Arabidopsis thaliana: one gene and its partner. The protein of the gene in region 1 interacts with the protein of each later gene in a pairwise test. Each region holds a gene or a part of one and is shown on either strand. Other genes may lie near its edges.

What was found. The genes of interacting proteins can lie anywhere in the genome.
Region 2: the proteins of RR18 (region 1) and BZIP9 come close enough for resonance energy transfer, tested with the Arabidopsis thaliana proteins (one study listed by BioGRID).

Annotation. Positions count from the first base shown.
Region 1 is NC_003076.8:23,500,963-23,506,371, reverse strand, and holds RR18 (response regulator 18), read left to right. Parts: upstream 1-2,202; 5' UTR 2,203-2,221; coding exon 2,222-2,351; intron 2,352-2,440; coding exon 2,441-2,590; intron 2,591-2,657; coding exon 2,658-3,029; intron 3,030-3,158; coding exon 3,159-3,235; intron 3,236-3,331; coding exon 3,332-4,444; intron 4,445-4,521; coding exon 4,522-4,587; 3' UTR 4,588-4,767; downstream 4,768-5,409. Other genes in the region: AT5G58090 (O-Glycosyl hydrolases family 17 protein), read left to right, coding at 1-816; TIL (temperature-induced lipocalin), read left to right, coding at 5,216-5,409. UniProt on the Arabidopsis thaliana protein: Transcriptional activator that binds specifically to the DNA sequence 5'-[AG]GATT-3'. Functions as a response regulator involved in His-to-Asp phosphorelay signal transduction system.
Region 2 is NC_003076.8:8,513,165-8,517,435, forward strand, and holds BZIP9 (basic leucine zipper 9), read left to right. Parts: upstream 1-2,035; 5' UTR 2,036-2,094; coding exon 2,095-2,208; intron 2,209-2,313; coding exon 2,314-2,404; intron 2,405-2,501; coding exon 2,502-2,673; intron 2,674-2,765; coding exon 2,766-2,841; intron 2,842-2,919; coding exon 2,920-3,045; intron 3,046-3,122; coding exon 3,123-3,377; 3' UTR 3,378-3,505; downstream 3,506-4,271. Other genes in the region: AT5G24810 (ABC1 family protein), read right to left, coding at 3,738-4,271. UniProt on the Arabidopsis thaliana protein: Transcription factor.

The DNA of each region.
Region 1 (5,409 bases):
TACACCAACCCCGATTTCCCAGTTGATTACGCCTTCTTTGACGGCAATGCACAGCCCCTGAACGATGGTGGGACTTTTTATTACAACATGTTTGATGCAAATTACGACACCCTAGTCCACGCGTTGGAGAAGAATGGGTTTGGTAACATGCCTATCATTATTGGGGAAATTGGTTGGCCTACTGATGGGGACAGTAATGCGAATTTGGACTACGCTAAGAAGTTCAACCAAGGCTTTATGGCTCACATCTCAGGGGGGAAAGGGACTCCGAGGAGACCTGGCCCTATCGATGCATACCTGTTCAGCTTGATAGACGAGGACGCCAAGAGTGTTCAGCCAGGATACTTTGAGCGACACTGGGGGATATTCACATTTGACGGCTTACCAAAATATGCCTTGAACCTAGGGACAACGAACACAGGAGCTCTGATCCAGGCCAAAGGGGTACGCTACCTAGAGAGGAAGTGGTGTGTGATGAAGCCAAATGTGAGGTTGGATGATCCGCAGGTAGCTCCAGCCGTGAGCTACGCGTGTAGCCTTGGGGACTGTACTAGTCTTGGGGTTGGGACGTCCTGTGCTAATCTTGACGGGAAACAAAACATATCGTATGCATTCAACAGTTATTATCAGATACAGGATCAGCTTGATACAGCTTGTAAGTTCCCAAACATATCAGAGGTGACCAAGACAGATCCATCTACTGGAACTTGCAGATTTCCGATTATGATAGAACCTTACTACGGTGGGGCAGCCCGGGAACACGGGTTCTTTTTCCCACTACTGATGGTGGCAGCCATCGCAGTCTCTATTTTTTGATGGTTTCTTCTTGTCAATTTGTAATTCTGTGTGATGGCTTGAACTATTTTTTTTTCTTCTTGAATTCTGATTTCTCTTCCTTAGACCAAGTGATTATTAGAGCTGTTTTCTGGGACCAAACTGACCTTAAAACAATGCCATATTGCCATGTTCAATAAATCAGGCCCAAATGAGCATTTGAATTTGTACTATAGTAGTTGGGAAAGTCTATTGCGCTCTCTTTCTCCCTGGAGCTCTGTTTCATAAATGCTGGAGAGACTGTCCTTTTGTTGTTTTAGACATCTATAGTACTACAGATTTGTACAACTTCCAATTCTTCATATGAAGTTTCCCTTTCTCCTTGCTCTCGTTCTTCTAGATAGGAAACTAGGAGACGATTATCTAATTTCTTAATCTTTGAGTCCAATTGGCACTATGCACCACTCCAAAAAATAGTCTTTGATCTGATTTCCACTACCACAGAGACTTATTTCCAGTTTCCTTCCATTTGAAGAAATCGAATGGTAATAATAATCTGAGTATAAGAAGATCACAGAGTTGTCGATTTCTTCAAATGGAAGGAAACTGGAAAATAAGTCTCTGTGGTAGTGGAAATCAGATCAAAGACTATTTTTTGGAGTGGTGCATAGTTCCAAGGGTTTGGTGATGGATAAAGTTAAGACTGTTGGAGACTCATCAGCAACAATCATCTGTGACGCAGTTTTCACATTGGTTGTGATTTCAGATAGAATAATCAAGAAAATGGCAGAGTAATCACAAGTATGACGATTGACTAAGAATGTGGAGTAATAAGAGTCGACGGATTCGAATGCCTGAATGTGATCAGGTCAGTCCATTGCATTTGTCGAATTCTCTTTTTTTTTGGAACTGAGACCATACGCGTTATGTCAAAAATCAGATTTTTTTTGTTTTGTTTTGGTGCATTCACTTAGAAGACTAAAAAGGAAAAACATTTCTATGGAAAATAGGAAATGCATATATATAAGGAAAGCCAGGAAAGGTTGAAACGTTGGGTTTGAACGTTTATTTGCGAGTAAGGAAACAAAATGGGGACATTTACATTCACTTTACGAAAAGTTTGTCTTTTGTGCTCAGATAAGGCAAGATTCAACCAACAAAAGAGAAATTAGAGGAACATGTGACTCTCTCCACGTCCTCATTTATGGAAATATGAGCAGAAACAGAAGGAAATTTCTAATTATTTGGAGAATTAAGGGCCAGATTAACCGCGTAATCACTCTCTCTTTTGGGCCACTCGTCTTTATCTTTTTACATTTGTCTATAGGAGGACTATGGTCTTCTTCTAGTCCCAAACTTGAGGTTTTAAGAATAAAACAGATCAGATTTTAGTCTATGTACTATATTCCTTTGAAGAGAGGAGACTTGCAAACGTATTGCATCAAATATGGAGTTTGGAAGCACTGAAGATGGAAGGCATGACAAGTTTCCTGTAGGAATGAGGGTTCTTGCTGTGGATGACAATCCAACCTGCCTTCGGAAACTCGAAGAGTTGCTGCTTCGTTGCAAGTATCATGGTACTACATATTCTTTGCTTTTGTTTTTTTTTACCTGTCTGCTTCGGAATTGGGGTGCATGGTCAATGATGTTTGATTGATTACGCCAGTGACAAAGACAATGGAGTCGAGGAAAGCTCTGGAAATGCTGAGAGAAAACAGCAACATGTTTGATCTGGTGATAAGCGATGTAGAGATGCCAGACACGGATGGTTTTAAGTTGCTTGAAATTGGTCTTGAAATGGACCTTCCTGTCATCAGTACGTCTCCTACCATTGTTTTTCATATCAACTCTAGCCCTTATTGTAACCTGCTTCATTGTCTCAGTGTTGTCAGCTCATAGCGACTATGACAGCGTTATGAAAGGTATTATACATGGCGCTTGCGATTATCTGGTCAAGCCTGTTGGACTCAAGGAGCTTCAGAATATATGGCATCATGTTGTGAAGAAGAACATTAAATCTTACGCAAAACTGCTCCCACCTTCTGAATCTGATTCCGTCCCAAGCGCCAGCAGGAAACGGAAAGACAAAGTCAATGACAGTGGTGATGAAGATGACAGTGACAGAGAAGAGGATGATGGTGAGGGGAGTGAACAGGATGGTGACGGGTCAGGTACGCGGAAGAAGCCACGTGTTGTTTGGTCTCAGGAGCTTCACCAGAAGTTTGTCAGTGCCGTTCAGCAATTGGGCCTCGACAGTGAGTTTCCCCATAGACCTCTTTAAACCTTTCCTTATGTGTGATGTCCACTCTTGTTTCTCCTATAGAGTTATTTTGATGCTTTCATGTGTGGGATCCTCTTTTCATTTCTCCTTGTGTTCATCACAGAGGCTGTTCCCAAAAAAATACTTGATCTCATGAGTATAGAAGGTCTCACTAGGGAAAACGTAGCCAGTCATTTGCAGGTACTAATTCCCCATTCTCTCTTGCATTTTTCCCCTTCTTTCGCAAATATAATCTTGGATGGTTAGACTTGTTTTATTCTCTGGTTTTGGTTGCAGAAGTACAGACTGTACTTGAAAAAGATAGACGAAGGTCAGCAGCAAAATATGACCCCAGATGCATTTGGAACAAGAGATTCATCTTACTTTCAGATGGCTCAACTTGATGGACTTAGAGATTTTACTGCCGCAAGACAAATTCCAAGCTCAGGACTCTTATCGCGTTCCCATCTCACCAAACTCCAACCCCCTATGTATTCATCGATAAATCTCCAAGGAATGAACTCCTCCAGCTTCATCCAACAGGGGCATCACCAGAACTCAAGCAATTCAGCTAATCCGTTTGGAACATATCACAGTACTCTGTCACCAAGAATCCAGAACGTGAATCTGTTTCAGCGAACTTCATCTCCACTAGAACCCCTCCAGTTTCCTAGAAGCAAGTCATACATTGGAGATTTTAAAGGCTTAGGGGACAGAGCTATTGGCGGTAGCTTCCTAGATACTTGTATGCCATTTGGTAGCTCTAGCACCTCTTTACCAAGTGCTTCCACCAATCCTCTAATGTTGCAAGCAAACTATACACAACCCCTGCATATAGCCTCAGATGGAATTCAGCCTTGCATCGAGGGAACTCCGTCCAACTCTGCCTCCCCAAACATCAGTTTCCAAGGCTTATCTAGATTTCCTGGTCATAGCTGGCAAGGGAATTTGAACACAACCAGATTCCCACCGAGTTCCTTACCACTAAATCTTGCTTTCTTGCCGGATCAAGTGACATGTGCAGGGAACAATCTGGGAGATTGTACTTCTTTGGTTTCTGCAGAGAATCCTGGTGGAGAGATGCAGTGTGATCCTCAATTACTTGGCGGCTTCATGCAGAACGTGAATCCGTTAGGCGGACAGAAATGGGAGCAACAGAACTGCACCATGCTGAACAATCCATTCGGTAACATTGAGTATCCTCTACCCGCAGATAACATGGTTTTCAGAGACAACAATTCAACCAGAAGCAAAGGCTTGGATGAGTCACTGATGAACCCAATAGACAACAGTCAAGAGTATGTTGGAAAAGCTACTACAATGCTGGATCCAGAGATGAAGTCGGGAAAGCCAGAGAATGACAACCAGCATGATGTATTCGATGACATAATGAATGAGATGATGAAACAGGTAACGCGGTTGTTTTCTTGATTGGATTAAAAGCTTTTGTAGTTTGTAGAAAATGAAAGTGAATGTGTTTGTTGCAGGAGGAGAATAACGGAATGGTGCCAGTGGCTACTAGATTTGGCTTTGATTCATTTCCTCCACCTTAGCTAGTCATCTCTTTCTCTACCAGTTGCATTAAGTTTCTCCACTTGAGACCATTTTCATGTGATTTTTTTAAATTTCTTCCCACATTGTTTCCTCCGACTGTCAATAGATCATAGTACACCAACCTGTTTCATACTCTCTTTTATGAATTGGAATTGAAAGCGAGCCTGTTACAAAAATTTATTTTATAAAGTTTCTGAATAAGTGTTGTTATTCAAAACCAATATACGAATAGTAATGGGCCTAATTGAGATCGTTGGTTTACATATGGAGCTATTTTGAAGTGTCAACAAGAAGAGATATTTAGATGTCGATAGGATAATTTGGTGGGGCCTAGAAACGGCTAGAGGAAGTCAAATCAAAATGTGACTGTATGGCCCATTGTATTGTATCCTTCTTCCCACAGAACAAGGAAGACATTTGTGTCCTCCACCTTTATTCACATTTGTAACTGCTAGACGCTACTAGAACCCTTGCCCTACACGCTTTCCACGTGGCATCCTCTCGTCCCAGCGAAATCTCCTTGATATTATTTTTTTATTTCCTTATAAAGAACAGAATCTCTTCTTATCCTTTTACCTCAAAGAAAACATCGAAATCTTAGAGAAGAAGAAAAGAAAAAGAAGAGAAATGACAGAGAAGAAAGAGATGGAAGTGGTGAAAGGGCTCAACGTGGAGAGATACATGGGCCGTTGGTACGAGATTGCTTCTTTCCCATCAAGGTTTCAGCCAAAGAACGGCGTCGACACTCGCGCCACCTACACCCTTAACCCCGACGGTACCATACACGTCTTGAACGAAACGTGGAGCAACGGGAAGAGGGG
Region 2 (4,271 bases), about 15 Mb from region 1:
GGAGATTTTCTCTTGTTATGACTTATGGCCTTGCTTTTATGAACTTTTATTATTTGTGATCTTTAACCTCTAGCTTCAATCTCGTTCACGTCATACATGATCTTTTACTGGAATAATATTTTAAATCTGTAACCAGAAAGATTCTAAATATAATTACTACACTAAATATTATAGTATCAAAAATAATTTTTAAAAAAAAAAAACAAATAAAGATTCAATTGGTCCCTCAAAACTGAAACTAAAGATTCTAGTGTTTTTTATTTGGTCACATAAACTTTGATAAAATTCATTTGGTCACGAGAATTCTTGTTTTTGTCATGAATTTTAAATGAGAATTTTTGTTTGTTCTATAATACTTTTATCTACCCATGACCAAAAAATATACTAACACAGTTATATGATTTGAAAAGTAATTTCTGAAAACTAAATCACCCCAACTACTCTAGTGATCACTAGACATAGAACAACGTCTTTTTTTTGTTTCTCTTTTCCTTTGTTTATAATTCCTTTCATCTTCTTTTCTTTTTCTTTGCAAAACCTCGTTTGGAGATTACAAGTAGAGTTTGTAGAAACAGAAAAATTACTTCTTCTTTTTTTGCTAAAAGAAAACAAAAATTACTTTTGTGTTCATAAACTAATTTTCATTCATATTTTCTGTATTTTAACTTACAAATTTAGCATGTGCCTCAAGTAGAAATTCGTTTCTTACAAAAAACGTATATCAATCATCATCTAAATTACATGAAAATTTTCAACATCACTAAGGATTGAATTTTAATTGTACTAGTTACTATGGTTACTGAATTGTACTGTAGTCGGTAGATTGTAAACATTGTAGTCCACTATAGGTTCGAAAGTTCTAGTTAGTGAGAAATAATAATTTTAAAATGCTTTTGGATTCTATTTTCGGATCTAAACAACTTTTGTTTGTTTAAAGACACATTACCTAGTTTGTTTCTTTTTATTGTTTTGTTGTGAAATATTTTAACTTTTTAAAGGAAGTGCAGATCAAAAGAAAGAAAAGTTGGTTTACGCATACAAAAGTTGATGAAATAAAAAGTATTTCTGGTGCTGGAGGAAAGAAATGTCTTTTAGATCTGCTTTCCAAAAGCATATGGCGAAAAGTAAGAGTAAACAAAGGACGAAGCATTTTGTGTTGTTCGTGTGACCGGAAAATTCTTAAGTTTTTCTTTTTGGTGTTGTAGTAGTAATGAATGATAATAAATATTTTAAAGATTTTTACTACATGATACAAAGGTGTAAAAAACTGAAACAATATTATCAATATTTTTCCTTCAAATATTATCAATTATTTATGAAGATTAGTTTTTAGTGTTTTATGAAATTATATATTCGGTAAAACATTTACCGTAAAAGGTTAATTTATTCATTTTCAATGTTTTTGTAGTTTCATCATTGGACTATGCCCCTTGTATATTAATCTTAAATTAGTCGTTAAGTACTTCAAATTCGAATTCAAACAGGTTATGTAGTAGAGTAATTTATGTAAGTGTAAGGTTCTTGACATGTGCCAAGAATACAAATGTACATGAGTGACAATATTATTATCTAAATATTTTCAAATATTTAAAAGCTTATTTCGAAATATTTTAGGATCCTTTTATGAATATAAGCTGCTTATATATATGCCTATAACATTCATTTTCAAATCAAAAGCTCCAACATATTAATGAGCTGACAAACAACTTAATGTTTGAATTCAGATATGATTTATATTGAAAGAGTCTCCAGCTATCTTAGATAGTCTCCCTAGTTAAGGGATTAAAGGTTATCATTAGCATATAATTGGTACCATAATATTCACCAATACTACAGAGCCTAATATACATCTCTGTGGCTTTGCTTTTCTATTCTCTTTTGTTATTGTTGTCATTAAAGAAAAAAAAAGTTGGAAATGAGGACGTTGCATTGACAATGCAAATTCAATTTTGCTTAGCCATTAAGAAGCTTTTTCACAACTTTAGTAAAGAAGAGAGACTTATATAAAGAAGATGTCTATCACCACTTACTCTTCCCCTCTCCTCTCTTTTCCAACCAATTCTCTTCTTTCTTGTGTGTTCACATTCAAAGAAAATGGATAATCACACAGCTAAAGACATTGGTATGAAGAGAAGTGCTTCTGAGCTGGCTCTACAAGAGTATCTCACTACAAGCCCTCTAGACCCTTGTTTCGACCTCATGAACCGGGTTAGTCCTTTTGTTGTCTCTCTTATTCGTATCATTGTTGCTTGTGTCTATATCAAGATCCAGAGATATTGTAGTAATTAAGAGTCTAGTTTCTTTTGGTTGTAGGATTACACTTGTGAGTTAAGAGATAGTCTTTTGTGGTCTGAGGGATTGTTTCCGGCTGGACCTTTTCGCGATGCACAGTCCTCAATCTGCGGTATGTGCATGTCTCTTTGATTTGACTCCATGTAAGTAATAAGTGTTGTTGCAGTTGATATTAATGTTCACTACTTGTGTGGCTCTTATCTACAAAGAGAATCTGTCAGCTGATAGTCCAGTGTCAGCCAATAAACCTGAGGTAAGAGGAGGAGTTAGGAGAACCACAAGTGGATCTTCTCATGTTAACTCTGATGACGAAGATGCCGAGACAGAAGCAGGGCAATCTGAAATGACTAATGATCCCAATGATCTGAAACGTATTAGAAGGTATGTTAGGTACCAATAAAAAAGTTAGATGTAAAACACTGAGATAGAGAATCACCAATTCTTCTTAATCTTTTTCTGTGATGTGAATTCAGGATGAACTCAAACAGGGAATCAGCAAAGAGGTCGAGGAGAAGGAAGCAAGAGTACTTGGTAGATCTTGAGACTCAGGTAAGGTTAACAAATAGCTTGTTGGATGATTTGTATCAGAGAGTAATGTTTTAATGGTGACCTTGTGTTTTCTTCAAGGTTGATTCTTTGAAAGGCGATAACTCAACACTGTACAAGCAGCTCATAGACGCAACACAACAGTTTCGTAGCGCTGGAACAAATAACAGAGTTCTCAAATCAGATGTTGAAACTCTGAGAGTCAAGGTATCATCTATCACTTGCTCTTTTCAATTTGGGAAAGTAATAACCGGAATGTGCTAAGTTAAGTAAATTCTATATAGGTGAAACTAGCAGAAGATTTGGTAGCGAGAGGGTCACTCACTAGCAGCTTGAATCAACTTCTACAAACTCATCTAAGTCCACCATCACACTCCATCAGCAGTCTGCACTACACGGGAAATACCTCGCCCGCCATTACAGTCCACAGTGACCAATCTTTGTTCCCTGGAATGACACTTTCTGGACAGAACTCAAGCCCTGGACTTGGTAATGTATCCAGTGAAGCTGTTAGCTGCGTCTCAGACATCTGGCCATGACTCTCTTTCTTCAGAACATGTAATGATCACTCAGCGAATTTCCTGTATGTGTTTCGCTATAGAACTAGAAACATATAATGAAAGCAGCATGTTCGTTAAATAAACTCAAGTTTCGTCAACATATACTTAATTGCTCCAAATCCTGCAGATTGTAATCTGGAAACTGAAGCATGTATAGGCCAATAAATTACATTCTCCAAGGAAATTGCTTAAATGTGTTCGCTTAAGTAAGTATACAGACAAACAAACAAAAACACTGATCCATTACACTTTACTTTCCAGCAATTTCTATTAGCTATTTAAGGCGACAGCTATGCATGTTGTAACATGAGCAGACAAAACTTACGTCGAAAACCAACCTCAGTTGATTAGAGGCGTACCCATCTGCGAATCTGCACCTATATCAGTTGCGAAGTCCTTAGGCAATGGGATATTTAATTCCGAGCAAACAAGCTTCACAATATTAGCCGTTACACCTCCCATAGACATCTTGTTCAGTGTTACTGCAATGGAAAATCTGTTGTTGATGTCACAGAAGCCTGTTGATCCTCCTAACCCTGAATGTCCAAAGCCAACCAGAGACCCATCTTGAGAAATGGCGCGCTTAAAACCAAGCCCAAACTTTCCATCAGGCACTACTAAGCCACTGTAGTCTCCAGCACCCATGAAAGCATCATGGATCCTCGGGTTGCTAAACATATTATGAATATCATGTTGATGATCATCGCTATTGATCTCAGTTTTGCCAGCAGAACTGTTAGTATCAACTAGCCTGGCTAAACTTTCTGTATTTGACTCTCTGCTGCTACTAGCACTCATAAACTGTTTCTCATCATAAAGCTTCCTCTCTTGATGATCTTTTGATTTACCCTTTTCTGTAGCTGCCATCTCCTT